2 linked regions of the Macaca fascicularis genome follow. The protein of the gene in region 2 purifies or fractionates together with the protein of the main gene of each other region. This does not show direct contact. Links are inferred from orthologs where the notes say so. Each region holds a gene or a part of one and is shown on either strand. Other genes may lie near its edges. The genes, in order: RPS3 and ASCC3.

Evidence for each region.
Region 1: the proteins of ASCC3 (region 2) and RPS3 purify together in Homo sapiens (co-immunoprecipitation; 4 studies listed by BioGRID and IntAct, with this or other methods). This does not show direct contact. The link is inferred for Macaca fascicularis from reciprocal best matches to the Homo sapiens genes ASCC3 and RPS3.

The regions. Positions count from the first base shown.
Region 1 is NC_088388.1:74,276,536-74,292,041, reverse strand, and holds RPS3 (small ribosomal subunit protein uS3), read right to left. Parts: upstream 9,450-15,506; 5' UTR 9,420-9,449; coding exon 9,390-9,419; intron 8,527-9,389; exon of another isoform or gene 8,379-8,526; intron 8,227-8,378; coding exon 8,096-8,226; intron 7,279-8,095; coding exon 7,185-7,278; intron 6,587-7,184; coding exon 6,492-6,586; intron 4,924-6,491; coding exon 4,736-4,923; intron 4,526-4,735; exon of another isoform or gene 4,380-4,525; intron 4,275-4,379; coding exon 4,081-4,274; 3' UTR 4,078-4,080; intron 3,032-4,077; 3' UTR 2,953-3,031; downstream 1-2,952. UniProt on the Homo sapiens protein: Component of the small ribosomal subunit. The ribosome is a large ribonucleoprotein complex responsible for the synthesis of proteins in the cell. Has endonuclease activity and plays a role in repair of damaged DNA.
Region 2 is NC_088378.1:74,430,118-74,445,695, reverse strand, and holds the start of ASCC3 (activating signal cointegrator 1 complex subunit 3), read right to left. Parts: upstream 8,754-15,578; 5' UTR 8,450-8,753; intron 1-8,449. UniProt on the Homo sapiens protein: ATPase involved both in DNA repair and rescue of stalled ribosomes. 3'-5' DNA helicase involved in repair of alkylated DNA: promotes DNA unwinding to generate single-stranded substrate needed for ALKBH3, enabling ALKBH3 to process alkylated N3-methylcytosine (3mC) within double-stranded regions.

The sequences.
Region 1 (15,506 bases), on a different chromosome or scaffold from region 2:
ACTAAAAATAAAAAAATTGGCCAGGCATGATGGCGGGCATCTATAATCACAGCTACTTGGGAGGCTGAGGCTGTAGTTAGCTGAGATTGTGCCACTGCACTCCAGCCTGGGTGACAGAGTAAGACTGTCTCAAAAAGAAAAAAAAAAAACCCTCCCATTCAGCCTCCTAAAGATTATAGGCATGAGCAACTGCACCCGGCCTCCTTCTTAGATACAAGGAAGGGGGCAAATCTGGGGGTCTTTTTTTTTTTTTAAGACAGGGATGGAGTGTGGTGGCACAATTATGGCTCACTGCCACCCTCCACCTCCCAGGATCAAGCCATCCTCTCACCTCAGCCTCCATATCTGGCAAATTTTTAAAATCTCTTCATAGAGACAGGGTTTCACCATGTTGTCCAGGCTGGCCTGGAACTTCTGGGCTCAAGTGATCCACCTGCCGTGGCCTCCCAAAGTGCTGGGATTACAGGTGTGAGTCACCATAGCCAGACACATTTTGGTATTTTTAAATGGTTACACAGGGGTGTTCACTTTGATAATTCAGTAATCTATACACTAATAATCTTCATATTTTTGTCACAATTTTTATTTCTAAGCTGTTACTCCTACTGCATATTGCCTTTATCACAGCACCACCTAGTGGTAATTAGCAGCACTTTCTCCTAAATAATTCAGTAATCTATATGCTAATAATCTACATACTTTTCTGTCACAATTCATTACGTTTCTTTCTTTCTCCTTAAGCTATTACTCTTACTGCACATTTCCTTTGTTAACAGCAACACCTAGTGGGAACTAACAGCACTACCTTCTCCTACCAGCTGAACTTCCAAGTGGACTCAAGAAAACTCATGAGGAATTTAAAAGATCACCTAATCTAAAGTACAGGGCAGTACAGTCTTAACCTGTTTCCAGTACTTAATGATTTGCAGATGTTCAAATAAGTTCAACTGGCTGTGCAGTGGCTCATGCCTATAATTCCAGCACTCTGGAAGGCCGAGGTGCTTGGCCTCACTTGAGGTGAGTTGAGACCAGTCTGGCCAATATGGGGAAACCCCAACTCTACTAAAAATACAAAAATTAGCTGGACATGGTGACGGGTGCCTGTAATCCCAGCTAGTCGGGAGGCTGAGGCTGGAGAATCACTTGAACCTGGGAGGCAGAGGTTGCAGTAAGCTGATATAGCACCATTGCATTCCAGCCTGGTAGACGAGAAAAACTCCACCTCAAAAAAAAAAAAAGACAGGAATCTGTATAACCATCCAAGTCTCTTTCAACAAGGTGAGGGAGGGGCAGCACATCTGCAAGATGAAGTTCTGGAGATTGATGCAGAATAAGAATATACAGGCCGGGCGCGGTGGCTCAAGCCTGTAATCCCAGCACTTTGGGAGGCCGAGACGGGCGGATCACGAGGTCAGGAGATCGAGACCAGCCTGGCTAACACGGTGAAACTACTAAAAAATACAAAAAATACAAAAAGCTAGCCAGCGAGGTGGCGGGCGCCTGTAGTCCCAGCTACTCGGGAGGCTGAGGCAGGAGAATGGCGTGAACCCGGGAGGCGGAGCTTGCAGTGAGCCGAGATCGCGCCACTGCACTCCAGCCTGGGCGACAAGAGACTCCGTCTCAAAAAAAAAAAAAAAAGAATATACAGCAGTCTTCCTGCAGTACCAATGATTGGTTCCATGACCCCCTTCAAATACCAAAATCTCCAGATGCTCAAATTCCTTATACAAAATGGTAGAGTATTTACACCTAAGATAACCTAGGCACATCCTTAAGACTTTAAATCTTCACTGGATTACTTTTAATATCTAATGTACGTGCTACAGACAGCTGTTACACTGCAGTGTACAAGAAAGTGACAACATAAGAAAATATTTTGAAAACAAGTCTACACGTTCAGTAGACACAACCATCCTTTGATTATTTTTGATCCAAAGTTGGTTGAATCCAGATGCAAAACCCTTGGACAGAGGGCTATCACTATAGAAGTGTACACTTAAATTGTTAAGATGACCCATTTATGAGTCAGAAAGGGAAGGGGGCAGATAACTTGTGAGTGTGCGCCCTACATAATTACCTCAAATATTAAGCCCTTACCATGTGCAGCTCAGTCTAATTGAGAAGACAACCAAATAATCACAGCATCTGCTAAGCGGTCTATGGAGCCAGGGTTATCTCACCCGCCAGGCTGCATCACCAGGAAGCAGCCACCGGATTTGGCCTTCCAGGACTATAATAGCTGTCCCTGGAATTCCCCTCTGTGATCAACCAGACTGTGATTTATCATCAGTCTTGTATGATTTTCAAGCCAACCTGTCCCTCACTAGTTTTGCCTGAGAAAATAGTGCCCAATTTCTGGTAAAATACACACTGGCAGAAAATACTTCAAAATACTGACAGATAAAATCAGAGACAATTTAAATGTTCTTTACAGGTCTCTAGAACATAATGGCCTGTAGTACCAATGACTGGTTCCATGATCCCCTAAGAGAACACAACTTAGGAATGTGGATTCTAATGATAGCTTTATACTGCTTAGGCAAATTTACTTCTGAATCTTAAGTTCAGTGGCACAAGCAAATTTCCTTTACACTTTAGAGAGGTTGATTAACGAGTACATATGTAAAGAATACTTAGAGCACAGCATGACACAAAATATAATGACCATTTATGTTCACTTTCTATATGCAACGTGGATCGCCTTATGCATAGGAAAAACTCAAATACAGCCCTCTTCTAAACCTATAACCCTGAACTACAGGACAACGAATCAAGGTGCTGCCTTGCTTGCTATCAGTCTTCACTATCACACAAAGATCTCTCTGGTTGGCTCTGCTTGGGTCTTACAGTTCTGGCCCTTGCAAATACTTCAAGTATGGTACCAAGAAGATATGTAATGCTCCAGAGGCCAACGTGCCCCTCAGTCTGAATACTAAACAGTCTATTCAGGCCTTGTGTCTTTGTACCAGATTTTATTAAAGATCTTTACAGAGCAACATCCAGACTCCAGAATACAGCTGCCAAGGAGACCCTGAAACCAAATAAAGCACAAAAGTAAGAAATTTTACCAGAGTTATTAAGTTCCTTATTTACCAAATGGATACACACTCCCATTGAGGGTTTGCAGCAACATTAACAAAATATATAAGGGTTTGTCCTTTTTTATATATAAAAAAAAATACAAGGCGGCCGGGCGTGGTGGCTCAAGCCTGTAATCCCAGCACTTTGGGAGGCCGAGAGGGGCGGATCACGAGGTGAGGAGCTCGAGACCATCCTGGCTAACACAGTGAAACCCCGTCTCTACTAAAAAATACAAAAAATTAGCCGGGCGAGGTGGCGGGCACCTGTAGTCCCAGCTGCTCGGGAGGCTGAGGCAGGAGAATGGCGTAAACCCGGGAGGCGGAGCTTGCAGTGAGCTGAGATCCAGCCACTGCACTCCAGCCCCTGCGACACAGCGAGACTCCGTCTCAAAAAAAAAAAAAAAATACAAGGCACCTAGAGACACAACACCTACAAACAAAAAAACCCCAGGTGTTGACCATAGCTGCTGAGCACAGTGGTTCACCTGAGGTCAGGAGTTCGAGACCAGCCTGGCCAACATGGTGAAATCCTGTCTCTACTAAAAATACAAAAATTAGCTGGGCTTGGTGGCAGATGCCTATAATTCCAGCTACTCGGGAGGCTGAGACAGGAGAATTGCTTGAACCCGGGAGGCAGAGGCTGCAGTGAGCCAATATCGTGCCACTGCACTTTAGCCTGGGTGACAGAACAAGACTATGTCTCAAAAAAAAAAAAAAAAAAAAAAATCTTGAGCAAATAAGGGAAGATAAGGGAAAACTATTTCATTTCATACACACGAGTGAAAGCAGGAACTTCTGAAAATAAAGGCAAACACCTGTCCCAATGGAACTGAGGGTTAAATAGACCCCAGGTTTCAACTTGTATTCTCCCACATAAAGTAAATAAATGCAATTTTTATTCACCAAATGCTTACCAGAATGTGGGATACAAGTATTAACAGAAAGACTAGGAAGGACCCTATTCTGCCCCAAGAGGCCCCTGCCCCTGCAGACATACCTGTTATGCTGTGGGGACTGGCTGGGGCATGGCAGGCGGCTCTGGCTTCCCACCCTTCTGTTCTGAGATGGGAGTGGTAGGCAGTATTTCATCTTTGGGTTCCACGATGCTCACATGGTCAGGCAGGGGCTTCTTAGGGCCAATCTTACCAGTTGGGTCCCAGGGCAGCATGATCTTCACCTTGATGCCCAGCACACCTAGAGGACACCACAGTTGTTAGCACACAGCTGGGATCTCACCGGCCCCCATCACACAACACCAAAGAGAGCAAGCAGTTTACTCAAGCACTCCTGGGTCTGGTCCCTTCTCAGACAAATGCCTCTAAATCAATCAATGAATAGGACACTTCTGCAGAAGGAACTCACGCACAGCACCACAGAACATGGTACTGACAAGGACCAAGAGCAGGAGGTGACCTTTCTGACTCGTCATCATGTCATCACTGAAGGGTACACAGATGGCTAAAAAAGACAAACCAACTCTTGGATCTGACAGGTCTCAGCAATTTGATTCTTACAGATCAATGTGGTAATCGATATGCCAAGGAATATGAACATACCCAGCTGCTTCCATGATAAACTCCCCCAAATTTTTAGATGTCTGTGGAAAACCAAATCTATCCACAAATGCCCTTTGACAAGCACTCTCAGCTGCTCACCTTGTCTGAGCAACACATGGCGCACAGCAGTGTCAACGTAGTAGTTAACAGGGTCTCCGCTGTGGATCATCAGGCCATCCACAAACTTCATGGATTTAGCCCTCTGTCCTCGGAGTTTCCCAGACACCACGACCTCGCAGCCTTTGGCCCCGCTCTCCATGATGAACCGCAGCACACCATAGCAGGCCCTTTAGAAGAAAAGAAGAGATCTACTTGTGTTATTATCAAGGACCTCCACCAAGTTTAAAAAACAAAACAAAAACTTAGTATTCAATGTTCCTTTAATGGAGAATAAATTTGACCAGAATCTGGCCCCAATGATACCAATTCTCTTCCACACCTATCACACGGAATCTTAGGGTAATATTCATCAAGTATGTCAAGCTCCTAAACATGTACTTTCCAACTCTGGCTGCATACTGGGATCACCTCGGAAGGCTAAAATAAAACACAAAAGAAACGCTGATGTCTAGGCCCTACTCTAAGCCAATTAAATGGGCAAAGTACAGGCACATGTATTTAAAAATGCTCCCTGGGTGATTCTCACGTATAATCAAAATTGAGAACCACATTTTTAAACTCCAATTACCCACTTTGTGGTCCCTTGTAATACTCTGCAACCTCCGAAGTCTCATTCACTAGGAAAGCTAACCCACCTAGGATCCTGGCTACCTTGCTATTAGAATGCTGATAAAACATTTTAAAATATGCCCTACCCCCCAACTCATTCAGTAGTTTACACTCTGCGACATACTAACTGGAGAGCTAGCCACCTCCAGGCCCTTTCACATTATCTTACTTAATATTCTACAACTAAGAGGTGGTATGATGGTTCACCTTAGAAGATAGTAGATCCCAGGCTCAGAAGTACATTAACTTGCTTCAATGTGTGCAACTAGCATGTGGAGGGGTTACTAAGACAGACTGCTGAGTCACACATCCAGTTTCCTATTTGGTGGGTCTAGGACTGGCACTAATCTTCTGAGAACCATTGTTCTAAGCGCCTAGCGGGCACTCGAACCAGGTAAGCAGTCTTTTCTAGGTCCTTACCTACGGCCTTGTCTACACTACCCATCCCTACCAGTCAACCTTCCTACAGCACAGTTTTCCTATCATTCCTCTAGGCAAGGCATTTCAATGCCTTTACATACAGTCTAACTGCACAAAGAACTTCCTGTTGAAATCTTACCAGTACACCCTCACATTACTATCTGCATGCAACTCAGAGGTTAAGTGTCTAGATTTTAAGCTCTCTCGCATCAGGTCTATCTTATCTCTTCAGAGTACCATTTTAAGAGTGAACACATTAAGTAGATCCAAATGATTCCTACTGAAGTTTCATGGTATCCCACAAGTACTAAGGCACTTCTACCTAGGGATACATAACACACACCCAGTAACAGGCCTAATTATTCTTCATTGCCCACCGCACTCCCCGACAGGGCTCTTTGTAAAGCCTCCTCGCGAAGACCAACAGGAGTTGGTCCCCTCCTTGGACAGTTCTATTTGTGTTGAACTCCCAAAGCACCCAGAACACTTCTCCATTACAGTACTGACCACCCTTTATGGTTCTTGCTGCTTTCATAGTCTTGCTAGTCTGCCAATTCAGTGAGGGCATGGTTTAGTATCTTACTATAATCCTGGGAGACTAGCAGATCCTGTCACTTTATAACAGTTCATCTGCTAATCAACAAACAGGAGACATATATTTTGATACACACAAAAGGTCATGACCATTAGGTCTCAGGACACTTACCTCCGCACAGCAAGCCCTCCTAGGAGTTTGTAACGCAGAGACTCTGCCTGGGCAATGGCACACAGACCTCTAGTGGCCACCTTTTCAGCATAAAGCTTTAAAGGAAGGAAGGGACATCCTGTTACCATCACCACTGTTTTCAACTGAAAGTTGAAAATTTGGCATGTCACACAAGCATCACTTTCTAGACCAAGCTTGCCCAACCCAGAGGCCGCATGCTGCCCAGGAGATGGCTTTGATTGTGGCCCAACAAAAATTGAACATCGTGATTTTTTGCACTACCAGTAGCGTGGCCCAAGATAATTCTTCCAACGTGGCCTACGGAGGCCAAAAGACTGCACAACACCATCACAAACAGCATATAATTTCAGTATCCCTCAATTCCTAAAGCACTTCTACCACCTACACACAGTGCAGGTTCCTTGCCCTCCCACCCTGGCTCCTTTGGCCATACCAAGTACACCAATGGGGATAGTCAATCCATCATATGCATCATTTCTATACCCAAGTTGAATGTAAAATCCTTTAACTATCAGCCATTAGCAGAACAGGCTTACAAAGTTAAGCCCATTATTCATTAAGAGAATTTCAACAAAGTTGTATCAGTCCATTTGTAATGAACAAAGTCTCCCAGTTTTTAGAAGTTATCATTCTGAAGAGCCATTATCTCTGGCATACGCCAGAATCACTCACCTCTACACTGCCCTCTGGAAAGCCAAACCTCTTCTGAACTACAGCAGTCAGTTCCCGAATCCGCCGGCCCTTCTCACCAAGAACATTCTGTGTTCTGGGCGGGGAAAAAGTGACAATTCATGACTCTCACAAATGCTAGATTTAACTTTAAATCTTGCATATATATGTGGTAGCAAAATCTCTGCCACAAAGCATATAATTTTCATTGACAAAAACTAAAGTTAAATTTTCAAAATGCAGCTTTTTTTGAGACAGGGTCTCTCTCTGTCACCCAGGCTGGATCACACCAATGGCTCACTGCAGCCTGGACCTCTTGGGCTCAAGCCATCGCCTGCTTCAGCCTCTGGAATAGCTGGGACCACAGGTATGCACCACCACACCCTTATCTTTTTTAGAGAGGGGGTTTCCGCATGTTGCCCAGGCTGGTCTTGAACTCCTGAGCTCAAGCGATCCTATGCCTGGCCTTAAAATCCAGCTTTTAAGAAGCAATTACATTCACTAAGCCCAGACTCACTGGCTGTCTATCCCCTTAAGTTCACAAAGGACAAACCAGCCAGGCGCGGTGGCTCACGTCTGTAATCCCAGCACTTCAGGAGGCCGAGGTGGGCGGATCACGAGGTCAGGAAATCGAGACCATCCTGGCTGACAGGGTGAAACCCTTTCTCTACTAAAAATACAAAAAATTAGCCGGGCATGGTGGTTGGCCCCTGTAGTCCCAGCTACTCAGGAGGCTGAGGCAGGAGAATGGCAGGAAGCTGGGAGGCGGAGCTTGCAGTGAGCAGAGATCTCACCACTGCACTCCAGCCTTGGGGACAGAGCAAGACTCTGTCTCACAAAAAAAAAAAAAAAAGGAATAAACCAACTTAGCATTTACAACAATTATAGGTGATGGCCAGTCAAGTGAGTTTTACCTGGTGGCTAAGATAATGATTTCTGTCCTGGTTGGTGTAACTCGCACCTCAACTCCAGAGTAGCCATCTTCAGCCAGCTCCCGAGTAAGAAACTCATTCAGTTCAGCTTTGAAGATGCCATCAGCGACAAACTAATCCAAAAAAAGCGAAGTTCAAAATTAGGACATCGGTGTAGGCTCACTTTCGCCTGAGCCAGTGTCTTATTAGTCAATGCATCCCTCCCCAAAACTAAATACCTCCAACCAATGGTTCCAAACCCTTGTTCCAACAGGAGTGCAGCAACCCTTCTCAGACAAATGCCTCTAGGTCATCTTTAGGAAGTTACTTCAACCAGGGCCCTTTAAACTGTGCCACAGAATGCAGCACAGAGTAGGCAACCTGGGCGAAGGCAACACCCCCAAGTCAGACTCGTCATCATCTCTTCATCGAAGGGTTTAAAACAGTTCCACATGCAAAACAAGAAACTGCTCTAAAATAGCCTATTTACACTTCACTCAGCACAGCAAAGACACTGTACTTGTCACTGTGAAGGAACAGAATAGATAGTGGACTTAACATACGCTCTCTCACTTGCAGACACAACCTGGACCGTCTAAAGAATCCCAGCCATGTTATCTGGCCTTACGGTACCTGTGGTTTTAACTGTAAACAGAGCTGGAAAATCCTAACTCACAAGAGTTGTGGATTTAATTTTAACATCGAAGTGTAGGTATACGAAATGACAAACTGTCTATTTTTAAAGCTAATGATTTTTACACAGTTCTTTCCCATGGAATAACAAAGCGTTAAATCCGAGGCAGCTTCCTCCCGGGGTCCTCAGACGGAGCAAGCAATCGTCAGTAACCCTTCATGTTGAGGTCGTGGGACCAGCAGACTGTACCCAGACTCGACCAGTAAGAAGACAAGTATACACTGCTGCCTCCCCTTCCCAAAACCATGGGATAAGACATGAGGGAAATGACACACGCCCTCAAAATGCCACGTTTACTAATTCCATTGACCAAAAAATGCTCACAAACGCCTTCTCCGGGACAGAAGGGGCGCCTGGTCCCCATCTCTCTGCGCTTCACTCGGAACCAGAGAAAAACCTGTCTCTCCCTTACCCGGCCACACAGCGCCCGCCTGGCTCGGGCCTCTCACTCAATCCACCGCCATCCGCGGCCCGTGGGAATGCCAGGAGGCCTAAGCCGCTTCCCAGGGCAGGGCACGGAGCTGCAGGCCTCGCGGTGGCACCCGAGAAGCCCCTGACCCTCGCGGCGCAGTCGTTCCCCGAACCCAGTCCCCAGAGGCTCACCTTCCTCTTCTTGGAAATTTGCACGGCCATCTTGCCGCCGCGCTCCGCCGAAAGAAAAAGAAGTGGCGGGCGGGCGGAAGTGAGTATAAAGGGCGCAAGCGACGACGCAGGGCTGCGCTACGTGGACGCCTATGGGTGCTCATGGGAAATGTAGTTTTTACGTAAAGAAGGCGTCAAGGGAAGGAAGAGTGTAGGCAGGAACAGCAAAGGGGGTTCGACCAGCAGGACTGCTAGACTTCAGAGGATCTTAGAGTTCAATTCGCTTTTTTTTTTTTTTTTTGAGACGGAGTCTTGCTCTGTCGCCCAGGCTGGAGTGCAGTGGCCGGATCTCAGCTCACTGCAAGCTCCGCCTCCCGGGTTCACGCCATTCTCCTGCCTCAGCCTTCGGAGTAGCTGGGACTACAGGCGCCCGCCACCTCACCCGGCTAGTTTTTTGTATTTTTTAATAGAGACAGGGTTTCACCGTGTTAGCCAGGATGGTCTCGATTTCCCGACCTCGTGATCCGCTTGTCTCGGCCTCCCAAAGTGCTGGGATTACAGGCTTGAGCCACCGCGCCCGGCCGCGAGTTCAATTCTCATAGTTTAAAAACAAGCAATGCGAGGTGCAGAGGTGGAAATTACAGGTATAAGTTCACACAGCAACAGAGTTTAACCAGCGTGGAACTCTGGCCCCTACAGTTTCAGGGTGGACATTGTAATGAAAATCTGCTGAAATCCCTCAGTGAAATTCATTTAAGACTCCTCTTTGGGAGGCCAAGGCGGGCGGATTACTTGAGGTCAGGAGTTAAAGACTAGCCTGGCGAACATGGTGAAACCCCGTCTCTACTAAAAATAGAAAAAGTAGCTGGGCGTGGTGGCAGGCACCTGTAATCCCAGCTACTCAGGAGGCTGAGGTGGGAGGATTGCTTGGACCCGGGAGGTGGAGGTTGCAGTGGGCGGAGATCCCACCACTGCACTCTAGCCTGGGCGACAGAGTGAGGCTCTGTCTCAAAAAAAAAAAAAAAAAAAAAGAATGTCCCCCAGTCTGTGCCCATTTCCTCCATTCCAAATGATAATAAAACCTGATATTTACTAAGTGTCCTAGGGACTGTGTTCTGTGCCCTTTATGTTGTTTTCATTTACTCCACCTTACTTTCATCAAGTCCATTACAATTTGTAACAGAAGTCCCAGAGAGTGGCTCGTGTGCCCGCCCGCCCTCCCTCTCTTCCTTCCTTCCTTCCTTCCTTCCTTCCTTCCTTCCTTCCTTCCTTCCTTCCCTCCTTCCTTCCCTCCTTCCCTCCTTCTCTCTCTTTCTCTCCTTTCTTTCTTTTCTCTCCCGTTGCCCAAGCTGGAGCGCAGTAGTACGATCTCAGCTCCCTGCAACCTCCACCTCCCAGGTTCAAGCGATTCTTCTGCCTTGGCCTCCTGAGTAGCTGGGATTACAGGTGCACACCACCAAACCCGGCTAATTTTTGTATTTTTAGTAGAAATGAAGTTTCACCACGTTGGCCAGGCTGGTCTTGAACTCCTGACCTGAAGTGATCCACCTGCCTCACCCTCCCAGAGTGCTGGGATTACAGGCATGAGCCAATGCGCCCGGCCTTCTTTTTCAATTAAAAAAAAATTCTAGCCAGGTGCAGTGGCTCAGGCTTGTAATCCCAGCACTTTGGGAGGCCAAGGCAAGTGGATTGCTTGAGGCCAGAAGTTTGAAACCAACCTGGGCAACAGAATGAGACACTCTCATCTCTACAAAAAGTGAAAAAAGAAAATTAGCCGGGTGTGGTGGTGTGTGCCTGTAGTCCCAGCTACTCTGGAGGCAGAGGTGAGAGGACTGCTTGAGCACAGGAAGTCTAGGCTGCAGTGAACCGCGATTGTGCCACTGCACTCAGCCCGGACAGCAGAGTGAGACTCAGTCTAAAAAAAAAAAAAAATTTAAATGTCTGTTCATTTTATTATGAAGCTTACAGAACAGTTGGAAAAACTGTACATGTATGCATTACCAAGCTGAGGGGGAATTGAGAATGATGCTACAACTAATATTTTGCTGTTGCTTTATCATATATCTACTCATCCCTGTAGCCACCCACCAATATATCTTTTGAGGCATTTCAAAGTAAGTTGCAGACATTGGTAAACTTTACCCCTAAACACTTCAATAACAGTTTTAAGTTTGAATAGTTTTCTTCACGTAAAAGTCAGGGTATTTCTCTCTAAAACTATTTCAGGTTTTTCTTAAGAATATAGAAAGATCGCCGGGCGCGGTGGCTCACGCCTGTAATCCCAGCACTTTGGGAGGCTGAGGTGGGCGGATCACAAGGTCAGGAGATGGAGACCATCCGGGTTAACTCGATGAAACCCCGTCTCTACTAAAAATACAAAAAAAAAAAAAAAAAAAAAAAAAAAAAAAAAAAAAAAAAAAAAAAAAAAATTAGCCGGGTGTGGTGGCGGGCACCTATAGTCCCAGCTACTCGGGAGGCTGAGGCAGGATAATGGCATGAACCCGGGAGGCGGAGGCTGCAGTGAGGTGAGATGGCGCCACTGCGCTCCAGCCTGGGTGACAGAGCGAGACTCCATCTCAAAAAAAAAAAAAAAAAAAGAATATAGAAATATCGCCGGGCGCGGTGGCTCACGCCTGTAATCCCAGCACTTTGGGAGGCCGAGGCGGGCGGATCACAAGGTCAGGAGATCGAGACCACGGTGAAACCCCGTCTCTACTAAAAATACAAAAAATTAGCCGGGCGCGGTTGTGGGCGCCTGTAGTCCCAGCTACTCGGGAGGCTGAGGCAGGAGAATGGCGTGAACCCGGGAGGCGGAGCTTGCAGTGAGCCGAGATCGCGCCACTGCACTCCAGCCTGGGCGACAGAGCGAGACTCCGTCTCAAAAAAAAAAAAAAAAAAAAAAAAAAAAAGAATATAGAAATATCTAGCAAAATAGTGAACCCACATTTCTTCATGGGCAGTGCTCTCCTTCCCCGTTATACCAAAAGAGGCTTTCCAATGTGCCACACTCCCTGGCAGCATCACTCAGTTATTTTCTGGTCCTAGAAGCCATTGGAGTGTTTAACTCCAGCACTAAAACAACTCTGATGTAAAGTGACCTGTCCTATAATCATGGAATTAACAGAGTTCTACAGGAGCTGAGCAGAGGGACCAGGGAAGACGACAAAAAGTGGCTGGGTGCGTTGGCTCACGCCTGTAATCCCAGCACTTTGGGAGGCTGAGGTGGGTGGATCACCTGAGGTCATGAGTTTGAGACCAGCCTGGCCAACATAGTGAAACCCCATCTCTACTAAAAATACAAAAATTAGCCAAGTGTGGTGGTGCATGCCTGTAATCCCAGCTACTTGGGAGGCTGAGGCATGAGAATCTCTTGAACCCGGGAGGTGGAATTGCAGTAAGCCATGGTCAAAACCACTGCCCTCCAGCCTGGGTGACAGAGTGAGACTCTATCAAAAAGAAAAGAAAAGAAAAAAGAAAAGAAAAGAAAAGAAAAGAGAAGTGGACGAACCAAAGAACCAAAGAGATGGTAGCTGTGGATCTATCTTTTTTTTTTTTTTTTAGGAAAAAGTTTCCCTCTGTCGCCCAGGCTGGAGTGCAGTAGCGCAATCTCAACTCACTGCAACCTCTGCCTCCCGAGTTCAAGCGATTCTCCTGCCTCAACCTCCCGAGTAGGTGGGATTACAGGCACGCACCACCACCAGCTAATTTTTGTGGTTTTAGTAGAGACAGGGTCTCACTATGTTGGCCAGGCTGGTCTCGAACTCCTGGCCTCAGATGATCCACCCGCCTCGGCCTCCCAAAGTGCTGGGATTACAGACATGAACCACTGCACCCAGCAGATGCCCTAGTTTCTGACTTCAGTCGTGAATGCTTGGCGACAACCCTTACCGAGATGAGGAACCTAGGAATAGGTTGTTTTTCTTCCCACTGCCCCCCCAACCCCGCTCCCCGTCCATCTGTTCTCTCTCTCTGCTCTTCATGCGCCTCTTCATCCAGCTCCTTGGTCTGTCTATAGAGTGGTGCCAGGTTGCTGAAAACGTGAGCCTGGTAAATCCACCTGCCTGACTTCCCTATGTCTTCACTAGAGATGTGGGCGCTGAAGGAGAGCACCCGCCGTTGTGTGCTGGGATGAGAGTAAAATCACAGCAGGCTCCTAGACCCTCTCAGTGAATCACTTCTATTTCCTCATTCCCATATGCCTCACATTCTCCCACAGTCCCTATTATAATATTTGACAAAGCTTTAACCCCAGAACCTCCTCACTTTCAGAAGTCAACCTCCCTCCTAGCCCCTTGGCCCCCTAATAGATTGTATAGCCAGAAACTGCCTCCTGCCCATCCTATAATCCTGTGTATTCCTGGCTATCCTTACCTCCTTCCTTCCCAGCTTAGGAAAGAGACCATCTTTCTTCCCAAGGCCAGCCTTCCCATTGTGTTCTGGTCCCAGTTTAGTTCTGTTTCCTTGAGACCTTGCTCTAGCAATCATTCTCCCCCTTGCTCATGGTCATCTCGCTTCATACTGACTCTTTCCTTTCCCTGCTGCCCGCATGTTAAACACACCACTTCTTCAGGGTTGTGCCTCCTCTCATTGCTTCAGTAGTGTTCTGTGCATCCCCTCCTGTAACACTCATCTCACTGGGTTGGAATGGTCTATGTGTTTCTCTCAGTAGACTGTAGGTTCTGTAAGAGCCTGGACTGAACCTATTTTATTCATTCTATTCAGAGCTTGGATCTGGACAGGCTCAGGCCCAGTGTCAGTCAAAGTTTGAAGAGCAAACAAATAAATGCATGGATTCTAGTTTTTAGATAATTCCTTGTAGCACGGAACTAATATGAATTTGCCTGCACATGCTGTATCTTATCTGGGATGTTCAGAAAACCAAATTCTGGAGGCTCAAAGCTGAGGATCAGACAGTGGCAAGTTCTCTGAGGTAAATGCCACCTCTTGATGATGTGGTAGCTCATCTGCTGCCCTTCCCCAGGGATGCCAGGAGGCTGCCTGCCTGAGTGTCACCCCCCAGTCCCAGGAGAACGTCCATGAAGGAAGCCTTTGTCTTGATCATACTGCCCTTCCTCTGTCTAAGACTATTATAAGAAAAAGGCAATATAGTACTCAATGCTGTGGAAACAATAGTAGTTGTAATACATTGAGTTGTTACTAAGAGCAAGGACAGTGAGAGTGCCTTAATCTCTCCCTGGGTATCCAAAAAGAAAGCAAAACTCTATCTGTTTAGCCCACAGAGTCACAGAATTGTCCCTTGGATTGTGAAGAGAGGACTGTGAGTGTCTGAGAAACATATGGCTTTGTGGCCACACTTGGGCCATGCATGGGCCCTTGGAGCGTCACAAAGGACTTTCCTGAAATTCCTGAAAACCAAAGGTGAGATTTGCCCTGGTCAAATGAATACAGCCCACAGTTTCTGGGAACAGTTTGAAAACAGTAGAACCTCATAGAAAGCATTGAATTTACCTGAATTTACCTGAATCCAAAGGCTAGGCACGGTGGCTCACGCCTGTAATCCCAGCACTTTGGGAGGCCAAGGCAGATCACTTGAGGCCAGGAGTTTGAGACCAGCCTGGCCAACATGGTGAGACCCCCATCTCTACTAAAAATACAAAAATTATTTGGGCATGGTGGCAGGCCTATAGTCCCAGCTACTCAGGAGGCTGAGGCACAAGACTCGCTGGAGCCCAGGAGGTAGAGGTTGCACTGAGCCAAGATTGTGCCACTGCACTCCAACCTGGGCAACAGAGTGAGACTGTCTCAGGAAAAAAAAAAGAGAGAGAGAGAGAGAGAGAAAGAAAGAAAGAAAGAAGAAAGAAAGAAAGAAAGAAAAGAAAGAAAGAAAGAAAGAAAGAAAGAAAGAAAGAAAGAAAGAAAGAAAGAAAGAAAGAAAGAAAGAAAGAAAAGAAAGAGGAAGAAAAACTTACCTGAATCCCACTTGAGGAGCTTGACAGAGAGAGAACTGAAGTTGTGGGAATAAGGGTGGGTGTCCCTGCCTTGCTGCTCCAGAGTGGCTCAGAGGGAGGTGGGAGGACAGAGGAGCTTCTTCTGTTCACAGAGAGAGGGTAAATGGGTCTCCACTATGGCACCTGTTAAGGGATTGCTGTTCTAGGGCAATAGCGACCATATTCAGTT
Region 2 (15,578 bases):
AGACCTTCTGAAGAAAGCAGATTGCTCCTGCAGGACCCAGGATACACTCCAAATACTGTGCTGGCATCCATGACTGAGACCCACAGATGGTTTACATCACAGGACTCTGTGCAGACAACCCCCAGTACCAGCCCAAAGCCTGGTAGACCTGCCGAGTGGCTAAATCCAGAAGAGAGATAACAATCATTACAGCTTGGCTCTCAGGAAGCCACATCGCTAGGAAAAGGGGGATAATACTACATCAAGGGAACACCCTGTGGGACAAAATAATCTGAACAACAGCCTTGAGTCCTATACCTTCCCTCTGATAGACCCTACCCAAATGAGAAGAACCAGAAAATGAACACTGGTAATATGACAAAACATGGTTCTTTAACAGTCCCCAACCAAAAAAATCACACTAGCTCACCAACAATGGATCCAAACCAAGAAGAAATCCCTGATTTACCTGAAAAAGAATTCAGAAGGTGAGTTATTAAGCTAATCAAGGAGGCATCAGAGAAAGGCAAAGCCCAATTTATAGAAAAAAAAAAGAAACAAGAAATGAAGGGAGAAATCTTCAGTGATATAGACAGCATAAATAAGAAACAAAGCTTCAGGAAACAATGGATACATTTATAGAAATGCAAAATGCTCTGGAAAGTCTCAGCAACAGAACTGAACATGCAGATCTTCAGAGCTCAAAGACAAGGTTTTGTAATTAACCCAATCCAACAAAGGCAAATAAAAAAGAATAAGAAAATATGAACAAATCCCCCAAGAGGTATGGGATTACATTAAATTACCAAACCTAAGAATAATCAGCGTTCCTGAGGAAGAAGAGAAATCTAAAAGTCTGGAAAACATATTTGGGGGAATAATCGAAGAAAATTTCCCCAGCCTTGCTAGAGACCTAGACATCCAAATACAAGAAGCTCAAAGAACACCTGGGAAATGCATCACAAAAAGATCATCGCCGGCCGGGCGCGGTGGCTCAAGCCTGTAATCCCAGCCCTTTGGGAGGCCGAGACGGGTGAATCACGAGGTCAGGAGATCGAGACCATCCTGGTTAATACGGTGAAACCCTGTCTCTACTAAAAATACAAAAAACTAGCCGAGCGAGGTGGCGGGCGCCTGTAGTCCCAGCTACTTGGGAGGCTGAGGCAGGAGAATGGCGTGAACCCGGGAGGCGGAGCTTGCAGTGAGCTGAGATCCGGCCACTGCACTCCAGCCTGGGCGACAGAGCGAGACTCCGTCTCAAAAAAAAAAAAAAAAAAAAAGATCATCGCCTAGGCATACTGTCATCAGGTTATCTAAAGTTAAGATGAAGGAAAGAATCTTATGAGCTGTGAGGCAAAAGCACCAGGTAACCTATAAAGGAAAACCTATCACATTAACGGCAGATTTCTCAGCGGAAACCCTACAAGCTAGAAGGGACTGGAGCCCTATCTTCAGCCTCCTTAAACAAAACAATTATCAGCCAAGAATTTTGTATCCAGCAAAACTAAGCTTCGTAAACGAAGGGAAGGTACAGTCTTTTTCAAGCAAACAAATGCTGAGAACTTGCCACTACCAAGCCAGCACTACAAAAACTGCTAAAAAGAGCTCTAAATCTTGAAACAAATCCTGGAAACACATCAAATAAAGCTCCCGGAGATCTTATCAAAATAATCAGCATGAATTATGCTTGTCAAGGGAATGAAGCAAAGCACATTACCAGATTTGCTATTTTTATTTGATGTGTTTTCTTCCCGAGGTTGAATGACCAACACTAAAAATGTAACAGTTCATTAGCTCATTGTTACCTATAAACCATTCATACACAAATATTTGAGTTTCTCCTATCTACTAGGATCTGGGCTAGGCACTGGATGTTAATAAAGTTTACAGTTCCTCAAAACACATTGTATTTTGTACCAGGAAAAAGATTCCCTTTAAGTTGTATTTGAAATGTATAAAGGTCAAATTCAGAAAACAAATTTTAAATCTTATGTTATTCATTTACTCAGCAAATATGTATAGATCACCCACCATATATTAGATATTTTATGAGGCTCTAGAGATTAAAAAAAGAAAAACATTTTGATATGATTGCACTTGCCCTCAATGATGAGTTTACAGTATGGTTAGGAAGAAAGAAAAATAGTTGCAATAATTATGCAGCTATAACTGTAGGAAGACAGGGAAGGAGCATCTAAAGGGGTAGGAGGGCACTAGATATAAAGGAAGGAAGCTGAGCTTGAGCTGAGACTTAAAGGACCTAGACAAGGTTATTACAAGGGGTAAACTATGAGGGGGAAAGCCAAAATAACAGACTCAATTACTTTTAAAACCCCTACAGAATGTGCATTTGGAAACTGATGAAATAAGACCTAAAGATGTAAGCAGAGACCAAACAACATGTCTCAAATTAAGCACTTTTCATTCTGATAATCAGAATCACTGAAAAAATATTAACATGTTATAGAAAAATTACTCAGATTTACATGTGGTGAACTGTCAAGGTGGGGTCAAACAGGACATAGACAAACCAGTTGGAAAGGTTTTCAATAAACCAAGTGAAAGATAAAGAGGATAGAATTAAGCCAGGGAAATGCATAAAAGGATGGATTTAGGAGATCAGTATACTTGGAAGACAGAATCAATGTGGAATAGGATTTAAAGAAGGAGAAAGCAGCAGGACACTCAAATTTCTGGCTTAGGAAATGCTGAAGAGTGGAGGACTCTATTATGTATAGAGGGCATCAGGAAGAGGAATGATAATTCTGTTTTGGAAAACTTTAATTATGGGCTATCAAGTGGGATATATGGTTTTGGATTTTGTATCAGAGGTCTGGGGTGGAAATCCAGAATTTCATGTTATCACTTCATCACAGTTAAAACCATGGATGAACATAATATTCGTTTAAGTCAAATATACATAAGCCCATGGACCCTCTTCCTAAGAAAACAGACATATATACATATAAACAACATTTTATACTCCATTTCAAAAGCTGCATGAATGCCCATTAATGCACTCTACTCCTAAAGGCCTCTTGGAAGTAGACAGTAGAGAATTAAGAACAGAGTTCTAAGAAAGTGATCCACAAATTGGTAGTCATATGGAAAGAGTGATATGACAAGAGAAAAGAAAGTTTCAAATGACATGATACAGTCCACTGTACTCAGCAACTCTGAGGTCCCAGATGACTAGCACACCTAGTTTCCAAAAATGGTAGAAGGTAAATCTCAGTGAATTAAAGGATAAATGCAAAGGGAGAAAATGGGGGGGAAAAAAAAAGAAAAAAAAAATCTACAAATTGGTATATGCTATTCTTTCAAGAAATTAAGAAAGAAAAGGAGAAAAAGTAAGAAATACTGAAATAGTGTGGTTTAAGAGTTTCTGAAAATACAGGATAGAGTTGATCATGATTCTGTCATAATCAGGGGAGAACAAAGACAGAAGGAAAAGTTGAGCAATCAGGAGAAAGACCATGACTGATGGAGTTAGGGTCTCTGAGAATACAGGCGAGAATGACAACAGAAGCACAGGTCTAGAGAGACTTGGATAGATAAGTATGGAAGGAAAGATGAGTGGAAGTGAATATAGTTATAACATGGTTAAGCAGAGGGTGAAGGAGGAGAGAAAAACAGGGTAAAAGGGAGTTCCACCAAAATGACTCCTATTTTATTTGAGATATGCTGAGACTGTTCAAACAGGTGATGAGATGGGATTTTTTCTATTACAGAGGCAAAAGTCTGAACTTACCACCCACAATAACAGAAGAAATCTTTTTCAGGTAGCAATGAATGTTCAGCTCATACTGCAAACAAAAGGTGGCAATAATCTGGCATAGGAACAAAGGTTGGTGTGAACCAGGGTTAAGGTTTTATAACACAGGGGTTGTGGGACAATGAAGCCTAAATGATGAGGGTTGTTAAGTGCTTAACTTTAGGCCTAGATGAAAGGAAAAGATGTTCAACTAGGAGGTCTTAAAGACAAATCATAACATTCATAGTTAAAATTTCTGGTAAGATCACAGTGAATAAGTATTAAGAAAAACTGGCCTGCATATCAATGTTTACCTTACTAATTTTTACTCCACAATTAATATGGTCCACTAAATGATAAATACATAAATGAAAAATTCTGTTAATAATAAATACTTAATGCCCCATAACAAATATAATTTCTAAAGGATTGAAACCCTAAAAGCCTATTTTTGTTAGAAGTACTGGCTGTGGCTATCTGAACAAATCTTTAAATTGTTAATTAAACGAAAGTACAGATAAAAAGAAAGTCTTGAAAATGTAACTGCCCTTTTTTACATTCCAAATAAGGAGAAAACTAATCTAATGGTAGCATATTTCCTTTTGGGAGATGATATTAACCAATAATTAGTGAGCTAGAATCCCAATACACACTATTCTGAAGTACTACATATAAAAATTGTAACATTTATTCTTCTTAAACCAAACCTGTGTTTCTTAACTCTAAATGGTCTAATTGCTTGATAGCAACTTTAGGAAAATACAGTTACTGTATTTTTTCATTATAAACAAATGAGAAAATCTCCAAAACAGTCAAACTATATTTCCTAATAAGTTCAGTCAACAATTAGTTACTGACAATTATGGATACTAGGGAATTATTAAAGGGACAAAAATAGTCAAAGTGATACAGTGCAGATTAAGGGATAAAACCACTGACATGAAGGAGCAGGTTGTAAATGGAGTAAAATTAGAATTTAAGATTTCAATACTTAAAATACAATCTTGTACCCACAAACCGACACCTTGAAAAAATGAACAGTGAATAAAGATTAAATAAACAGTGAATAAGAATATTTATATTTTTAAAAAATTAAGTTGTGATATTGTTAATATTAGCAAGATCAGAACTCAGAAAATAGCCACCATCGACACATATATACAATCCTCCATTATGCCGTTTCAAAAGGGGTTGATTTTTCATGGTAAATCCTAAAGATAATTTTAACCTTTTATCTCTTACTTGTATTAAACCTTATTACCATCAATTGGTTCATACAGCAGAGTCTAAGCACATTTTACTTTCTTTAATCTACCAAACACTGTAGGCCAAAAAAAGGAAGGTAGAGTCAGACAAAAACAATAATTACTAGAGATTCTGCTTACATTTCAGGTATTGAATACCTGCTCTAGAGTGAACGGCGGATGGGCAACAAGAATCTTGCTCTTTCAGTCTGTTTTAATCACCACATGCATCTCAAAATGTGAGCATCTTGCTGCATTGCATGACTCTAGTTTTTAATACTTTTTCTCTTTTTTTAAAAAACATACAAGGTGGTGACCAAACACAGACCAACTTTTTCACTGGGAGTTCATCTAAAGAAACTGTGATACATTCCAAGTCAGGATGAAAAACACAGCTGTGTAGGACGTGCTGAGAGACAGCATGTTATGCCAACCTGATGTCCTCTTAAGGGATTCTCAAAGGTAATCTTCGCTATTCACAGTTTCCACCTAACAAGTTCACTTTAGATGCTAACTCATTCTTAAGCAAGAAGCAATTGCTCTTGAATAGTTCCCAATCAAGTTAGGAAACACATCTGAAGCATGTAGAATAGAGAAAGCATGACCAAAATAATAAAATACATAAACACTTTTCACACAATACAAAATATAAAATAGTTAAAAACAAAATTTAAAACAAAATGGGGCTCTTATTCTCTAACTTATCCTCTAACTAGGTTTCCCACCCAAAGGTGGGGGAAAAAAAATCCTGGACAGGCTTATAACTATAAAGCAGATTAGCCTTTATATTCAGAATATTCCCCCCAAAGTTGTGTTAATTTTACTTTTAGCACAGGATAAGGAAGGCTTTTCCTTTAAATGTCCCTGGGAAAACAAAAAAATATTTTAGCACCAGATAAGGCAAGCATAGTCAAAAATTCCAGAACATCCCACAAAGATGAAACAAGCACACCCATTACTCTCAAGAAAACATGGAACAGACCCAGCACATATTAGGCAGTATATATTACAACTCTTTGCACAAAAGAAAAGGTCCAGTGGAAAAGGGCCTAGCACAGATTATGTCTGAAAGACAAATTCTCATTCCACCCTAATCCATAAGCCTCTGGAAGGCAGACTCAAGGAATTTACACCTGCCCTCTTGTGAGAGTGGAAAAAACTCAAATTGTTTTTCCTCTGCTCTCACACCACAACTATCAACACAGAAGATGTCTGTGGCAAAATGTGTATGAGTTTCTCCCTACGCACCAAGCAAGCAATCATTTCTGCAGCAGACATTAGATAGGTGTTCTCTAATTCATTTCTGACACTATCTAGAGATACTGTCATATCCCACAGAATGAAGGCCCAGTCCCACAAGACTGCCCACCACTTCTGATGCCAATTACAAGTTCCAGACTTTTTTATCTGTACTTCTGACTGGCCAGCTATAAATTGGGGATTACATGACCCTCTCCTTGGGTTCGGTTAATTTGCTAGAGTGGTTCACAGAACTCAGGGAAACACGTTTACCAACTTATTATAAAGGATATTACAAAGGATACAGATGAAGAGATACATAGGATAGGGTAATTTAAAAGGGAAGGGAATTTCCATGCAGAACTTCCAAGTACTTCCTAGGCATACCACCTCAAGGACTCTCCACATGTTCAGCTTTCAGAAGCTCTCTGAACCCTGTCATTTTGAGTTTTTATGGAGGCTTCACTACATAGGCATAATTGATTAAACCCTTTGGCCACTGGTGATCAACTTAATCTTCAGCCCCTCTCTCACCTCCCTAAGCAGTTAGGGGGTAGGGATGAAAGTCCCAACCTTCTAATAATTCCTTGATCTTTCTGGTAACCAGCTCCCATCCTGAAGCTACTAGGGGCAGCCAGCTAGCAAAGACAAAATTCTTAGTCTATTTATTAGCACACAAAAAGGCAAAATGGGGCCTGTAATCCCAGCACTTTGGGAGGCCGATACAGGGAGATTGCTTGAGCCCAGGCGTTCCAGAGATACACAGGAGATCAATCAGACCAATGTGAAGACTGGAAAGCAACTGATTTCTATCTCAAAAGAAAAAGCTTTTTATTTATTTATTTTGAGGTAGAAACTGAGGTAGAACTGTTAACTTTATATTTAAACCAGCTGTGCAAAAGAAAAACTTACTCTTCTGAACTGGCAAACCACTGGTACATATACTATCTTTTTGATCAAAGGCAATATCAAATCATGCTGTTAAAGCAAGATCATCTGCTCCTCTTTCAATGCCAGTTATATATATACATTGACAATAACTTTTTCTTTTAAAAGCTTTGGTTTGGTCAACTACACATCCATGGTATGAGAAAGAACCCTAGTCAAGATTCTCTCTTTAAGGAGGCTGCTGGATTATAGAAAGTTCATGAGCACAGAGATTGTCTCTCTCTTGCTCTCCTAGGTCTGGCCCAGCGTTTGACACATAGGAAGACTTGAATGAATGAATGAATGACAAAAAACTGTTAAGGAGGGATCAAGAAAGCTGAACCCATGAAAAATTAATTTACTCATATAAGTAAGATTATTTAGCCTAAGCTTAACAGCATCTTTAAGGATCATTTTTCTCATGCAAAACTATTATAACCATCATTAAACAAAAGAGACGACAAAAACTGGAGCACGATCCATGGTAAAACCAAAAGCTGAATTCTCAACTTTTGAGAACTCTGAGAATCAGAAAAAGGATTTCAATCTATGAAACATAAAATCTGGTGAGGAGAAAATGGCTATCAGTCTAACCTAACTTAGGGAAAGAAAGAAAACGTAACTATGAGTTTGAATGCACAAGTGACAACACATCTAACTTTTACCAAACCCTAGAATTATGCTTCTTTTAAACCAAAGAATAGCAAATACCATTAGCACACTGCATTCCACGGATAATTTATGATAAGAAACCTATTTGAAATAACTGCCCATTACTCACAAAACCTCCCTAGCACCCACATACACATTTATTTATTTCAAAATGACATTCTAGGCTCCTTGATTGCGAAATTCACCCACAATCCACCACGGTCAGCTACCTATTTACTTTTCAGTGTGTTGGAGGAAAAATACGAGGAAGATTTCTTTTTCAAAATCTACGTGAAAAAAAAACTTAGTTACCAAGGCTTTGTAACAGAAAAAAAGAAAGAAAACAAATTACCCATGCATGGGACAGGAAAAAACACCTCATCTGGTCACGTTGTGGCTTAATACCTAGACAATACGTGGCTTAGGTTAAGTTTTCTATCCCCTATCCCACCTACAAACTCTAGGAATGGGCGGTATTGTTGCGAGACCCCGGACTCGACCTCAAACCACCGAAAAGGATGACAGGTCTGGACTTGCCCCAGAGGTAGGAAGAGAATCTCTCGGCGGGTCGCGTAGCCAGCCCCGCCGTCCCCGCCTCCAGTCAGCTCCCCTGGCCGCGGCGACCCTTCTCGTCCTCCCACCTCCACCTCCTCACCTCTCGGCCCGGCTCACGCGTTTCCCTTCACTCCGTCAGCTCCTGCCACCGCGCCTCCTTCCCTTTCGGTTTTACTTTAACTTCCCACGCCGGGTGAGGTGCTGAGGGCAGGGCCAAAGATGCGGGCGGGCAGCTGTACCGCCGCGCCCTGTCAGCCCTCCACGCCGCGCTTGCCGGGGTCGCGCCCAGTCACAGGGAACTGCGTGCGAGGATCATCAGCCAGACAGACAGACCCACGGACCCGGCGAGGAGGGACAGAGTGGAGCGGGCGCCGGCCTACACGTCACCGCCCCGCTGCAGCGCCAACGTCGGCACGTCGACTCGTCGATTCCCGGCCCTCCGCGCCGCCCGCGTGCGCGCGTCGCCCCGCCTCCCGCCTCCAGCCTCTAGTAGGCTGGGCTCGGAGGAGCAGATGCGGAAGGTCCCGGCGGCGGCGAGGATGAGTCGCCAGGCCCAGGCGGGAGCGGCCCTGAACGGTGTGCTTTACCCTGGTTGCTCGCGCCGGGCCAGGCCTGCCATCTCGACCTCTCTGTGAGTTTTTCCCCTGCATTTACTTCAGGCTGCCGCCCTTCTCCATAAGGTAAATATGTGGAGGAAATAATTCCTATTAAAGGTAAAGGAAAAGAGAGCAATTTGAATGAAGAAACAGGTAGTTGTTATCGTCGTCTTCAGCCGAAGCTCTCTGGCTACTGGAAGTATACATGGTTCTCTGGTGTCAAGGCCTGTTTTCCATAAGCTTTCTGGATTCTCAGCTTAGTTCCCTCAAAGTGATCTCTGCAAGTCGGTCCTTGGGTCAGAAGACCTCCTCCAAAAACAGAAAGCCCGAAGATTCCCTAACTCGATTGAAAAGATAGGAAGATACGAAGAAAAACTAACCTAAAGAACTATGTGGTTTATCTGCAAAGAGTTCTAGACTAAAAGCCAACAATGCAACGATAGTATGAGTGAATGTGTTTGTTGTGGCTCTCCTCTGCCATTCCCGCTTCCTCATAAGGTAATGTGCCCCGATGCCTGGTAGAACTGTTTTGTAGAGGCAGCCAATAGTGATCCAGTTATTCTCTTTAATGGTCAGACCACCTCTGAAGTGCTGTGTTCAGCATTTGAAGAAGACCTCAATCAAGATGGCATTCTATCAGGGAAGAGCAAAATGATGAAGAGAACTCAAAAACAGGGCAAGTGAAGAAGTGTTGATTAAACCTTCCAGGACTCAGTTAGAAGAGTGAAAACTACTGGACTCTCTCCAAATATGAAGTGACCTGTCATGTGAAGTTGATTTGTTTCATGTGATGCAAACTTCAGGGAACAGATTTAAGATCCTGAAAAGAAGATGCCCTTGTAGCACGACCCAAAAAGAATTTCCTACCTTAGCATGTGTAAATACTTCAACAACAGAATTTTGCTTCAGGGAGATTCTGAAGCTCACTTAATAGGGACTTGGTACAGGGGAGCCACACATCAACAGAAGAATTAGTTGATGGCTTTGTTAAAGCTATTTCCAATCTTGAGATTGCATGTGTCTTTGGTCCTGGACTTCATAGAATTTACAAGTTAGTTCATGAGAGAAGACAAATGCATCACAAAAATAAATAATGCAAGGAGGCCACTTGATAATGAGAGGTGCTGATAAGTGCTAGGAATTCACATGGCAGATTATTCTCATCACAGTTCCAGAGGCTTAAGGGAGAAGAGAAGAATCGAAAATACACTACCTAGAACTGCGCTATCCATTAGGGTAGCCACCAGCTAAATATGTCTGTTGACATTTGAAATGTGGCTTGTCCAAATTGAGACATGCAATGAGTTCAAAATGTACACCAGATTTCAAAGACTTAGAAAAGAAATGTAAAATATTGTAATTCTTACGTCGATTACGTGTTGAAATTATATATAATGGATCAAATAAAATATGTTAAAATTAATTTCAACTTTATTTTTACTTTTTATGTGACTTCTAGAAAATTTTAAATTACATAGGTGGGCTTGCATCATATTTCTATTAAATAGTCCTAGCCTGGAAGGAAATTCAGTTAGCCCTCTGTATCCATGACTTCTGTATATGTCTCAACCAACTTTGGAACAAAAACAATTAGAAAATAAAAAAGAAGAAGAATGGTTATGTCTGCACTGAACATGCATAGACTCTTTTTTTTCTTGTCATTATTTCCTAAACAATATGGGTATAACAACTGTTTACATAGCACTTCCCATTATATTAGATATTATAAGTAACCTAGACATGGTTTAAAGTATATGGGACAATGTGCATGGGTTATATGTAAATACTATGCCATTTTGTATAAGGACTTGAGCATCCTGGGGTTTTGGTATGTGGGAGTGTCCTGGAACCAATTCCCTGTGGACACTGAGGCATGGCCTTACTTCACTGAACTCTTAAGAACTATTTTTGTCCTCTTTATAGTCCCCGGGGTTTCCTCAATTTTTTTTTTTTCAAGAGATGGGGTCTTGCTGTATTGCACAAGCTGAAGTGCACTGGCTATTCACAAGCACGATCATTGTGCACAACAGCCCTGAACTCCTGGGCTCAATGATTCTTCTGCTTCACCCAGGCAGCTAGGACTACAGGTACATGCCATCAAGCTCAGCTTCCCCAAATGTTAGTGGAAAGACAGCCTAAGGAGAATGGGCCCTGATGACAAAGAGACTGTCCAGAAAGTATGCCATGAGCAAAGCCAAGAAACAAGACTATAACTGCATTCTAGATAATAAGTAACCTATTTATCTGTAATGGAACATTGTTAATAGAAGCTAGTGACAAAGCTAAAATGTAAACAAACTATAAGGAGACACAATTTTAAATTTAAAGAATTGAGTATAATAGGCAGTCAGTGTTTGGCGGTCACAAAATGGAATTGGGAGATTATTTTGGCAATATTGGGTAGGGTGGGTTGAAAGTAGTGCATGGCTGGGAAACCAATTAAAACTCATTGCAGTGGGCTAGGCGCGGTGGCTAACACCTGTAATCCCAGTGCTTTGGGAAGCTGAGGCAGGAGGATCACTTAAAGCCAGAAGTTCAAAAGCAGCCTGGGCAACGTAGGAAGACCCCCATCTCTACAAAAAATAGAAAAAAAAATAGCCAGACTTGATGGTACACACCTGTAGTCTTAGTTACTAAGGAGACTGAATTGGGAGGCTCTCTTGAGGCCAGGAGTTTGAGGCTACACTGAGCTATGATCATGCCATTTAGCTCAAGCCTGGGCAACAGAGCAAGACCCCATCTCTAATTGAAAAACGAAACAAAACTCCACATTTCATTTATAAATGTATCATATGGCCGGGTGTGGTGGCTCACAGCTGTAATCCCAGCACTTTGGGAGGCTGAAGCAGGTGAATTGCTTGAGCCCAGGAGTTTGAGACTAGCCTGTGCAACATGACAAAACCCTTTCTCTACAAAAAAAAAAATATATATATATATACACACACACACACACACACACACACACATATATATATATATATATACACACATATATATATATATGAAAACTAGCTGGGTGTGGTGGCATGCACCTGTAGTCCCAGCTGCTCAGGAGGCTAAGGCAGGAGGATCACTTGAGCTGGGAGGTCGAGGCTATAGTGAGCCATGATCACACCCCCGTACTGTAGCCTAGGTAACAGAGTGAAACACTGTCTTTAAAAAAAAAAAAAGTATCATACCAAAAAAAGGCTCAATATTGGATTGATTTAAATTAAATTGTAATACATCTCTAAATTTCGAGGCATTAAAAAAGCATAATGTGAATCTGTATTGCTTGATACGTAATATGTCTAAGATGTACAGTTGAATGAAATAGCTTGCAACACAATCTATACATAATATGAACACATTTAGGTAAAATTATATAAGTTTGTGTGTGTTTTATGTATATGTGTAACATGATCATTCTGCAAAGAGTGCCTTTAGTTATCTCAAAATTGTCTCAAGAACAGAAAATTTCAAGGTGGAAGTGTTTCCAAGCTATTTTTTGTAGCTCAACAAAATTATTCACGCTTTTGACTTTTTTCATTTCTATGTTTCATTATCTTTAGTATGTTAGCCTTTCATTCTCAGACTTGTCACTTCGTGGGTTGAGGGGATGGGCTGCCAAGTTTCAGAACCATTTCCAGCCCATCAGTCTCTGGGTACCTCCTTCAGGATGTGTGTCCACTAGGTCTGCCTAGCTCACCAGTGTGCCGTAGCCTCAGCTTCTAGGCCTTTCTTGTTGTATCTATTGTCAGTCAGTTCTTCCCTGCCCTTTTTCACCCCACCTCATCCTGCAACACCGAGTCTTAATATTCCATCTTTACTGCACTCCAGTGCAGTTCCTTCTCTGAAGCTGATGCTTAACCTTTGGGGAATGCTGATTAATAAAAGACTCAATTCTAAAATGTTTTCCTACTCTTTTAAATAAGTGATATTAGAAAAGAAAAAAGTTAGATTACTACCATGGCAGACACTGTTGTTTGCCTCCTCAACCACAATTTCTTCCCTCTTTCTTAACTAATGAGGTGATTTTTTTAAAGTACCAAACAACTCAAAAAATGTGAGCTTCTCCCAAAGTAATTTCATTTCCCTTTGAATAAGAATGTTGTAGAGGTGGTCATGTGGGCAAAGGGACAATCAGCTTTGGAGAATCCTGCACTATGTTTTACCCAGGTTTCAAAATATATGCTTACAATATATAAACGATTTTCTTGAATTACTGTTCAAGATGGTGAACTCAGCATATCATTTGCCTACTATCCTTTCCTACACAGTACAGAAATAAAAATGAAGAAACAGAAAAAATGAAGAATAAGTAAAGGAGTAAAGATGATGTGTGCCTGTATGCATGCACTTATGTGAGTAGAAAAAAGTAGATGATGTCAAGAAAAGCAAATGAAATTTCAAAAATATCTTGGGATACAAAGCAAATAGTAGTGATTTGACCAAAACCATAGCCTAAAAAATATAGTGGAGAAGCTACACAGGATAGGACAGAAGTAAGAATAAGGGCTGAAAATGGGGATAAAATATGGCACAATTGAATCTATCACCACACACATTTCCCTTTCTCATCCATATACACTGAGAGGAAGCAAAAGATATTAATATCTGCATCCAGATAAAAACAAAGACCAAAAATGACCCCCCAAATCTTCTCCAAATTAATTGAATAAATAGTACAGAAAAGTGAAAACTTTTAGGTTGATGACGCAGAGGAAAAACATTCTCATTCTAGCATTCAGGGCCAGCATCCTGAGAACAAGCTAATTGCTTACTCATCTAAAGTGAAACTTCATATTTGGCATTCCTGGCCCTGTCCTACCTAACCCAGCCACATATTCACAATTCCTACACAAGAGAGAGAGAGAACTGTCAGACCTCTTACCTACAAAAGGAAAAGGAAAACTGTATCAACTACCAATTATATATGTATACACACATATATATGAACAATTAAGAATTAACAGGCAAATAAGGAAAATGAGCATCATGAGAGAAAAATACAAAGAAAAACATAGAAAAACTAACTCTAAAGAAGGCAAGGAAGCATAAATAAAAGATTTTAAAGGAGCACCCCAATTAATATGGAATTCAGAACATATTATAGCTACAAGATATGAACAAGATACTCTGAAAAAGGAGCAACGATAGAGCAAAAAGAGCTACCAGACATTAAAAATATGTTAACTTAAAAACTCAAGAGAAGTACTGGAGATTAAATCAAAGAAGTCTTGTAAGAATATAGTATACATAGCAGAGAGAAAATAAGAAAGAAAACATAAGAATGTCATGGAGAGCCAACCCAATAGGCTTAACATTCAACCAGTAGATGAGAAAGATTTAAAAAAAAAAAAAAAAAAGGCAGAGGGAGTGAGAAAAGTATAAGATTTTTTTAGAGCAAAGAAGAAAACTTTTCAGATTTGAGTAGACTTGGGGTATTGAAAAATAGATTTAAAAAGACTCATGCCTGGAGACATTATCATGTAATACCACAGATAAAAATTATGAGGAAGAATTCCCCAAAGTTCCTAAACACAAAAGACATATTATCAACAAAGGAATAGGGACAGGTGCTATCAGCATCACTGCATATCTGAAGATAATGACAGAATATTTCAAAATTGTAATTGTAGATGTTTTGCAGTCTACAAGTCTATACTCATTCAAATTATCAGTTAACTGTGAGAGTAAAATGAAGATATTTTCAGACTAACAAGGATGTAGAATATTTTTCTCCTGGGTGATCTTTTGGAAACTCACTAGGCCATATAATCCAACAAAATAAGGACAAAAATTTATGCTGATGCTAGAGAAAGGTAAGGACAAATCTCTGCAAGATGGCTGTGCAGCAAGTCTAGAGAGCAAGCAGTATACATTGGAGAAGAGCATGGAGGATTCAAGAAGTGAGGTCACATAAAAGAGAAAAAAAAAGAAGGAATTCAGTAGACTAGATGGTAAGACAGGAGATTTGAAAAACAAAAAAATGAAACTGTGGTGTATATATATATGATGGGATACTGCTCAGCCATATAAAGGAATGAATTAATGACATTCACAGCAACCTGGATGAAATTGAAGACTATTATTCTAAGTGAAGTCACTCAAGAATGGAAAACCAAACATCATATGTTCACAACTCGTAAGTAGGAGGTAAGCTATTAGGATGTAAAGGCATAAGAATGACACAGTGGACTTTGGAGACTCGGGGAAAGGGTGGGAAGTGGGTGAGGAATAAAAGACTACTAATTGGGTGGGGTATATACTGCTCAGGTGATGGGTGCACCAAAATCTCACACATCACCAGTAAAGAACTTACTCATGTAACCAAACACCACCTGTGCCCCAATAACCTATGAAAAGAAAAAAATTTAACATAATGATAATCAAAATTTTAAAAAAGGAAAACAAAAAAATGAAGATATAGTAAATCAAATAGTGCCAGAATAAAAGGGAGGAAAGAGTAGTTCCTCAGAAGAACTTTTTAAAAAATATTACCATAAAAGGGTAAAAAACAGTACATATCCAGGAAAATTAGTACTGAGAGGAAGAAAGAGAGCCAATGAAGGAGAAAAAGAAAGAGTGGCTAAAGAGTTATGAGATAAACAGAGTATATTTAAAAAATTTTCTTCAAGTCACCCAGGTAAT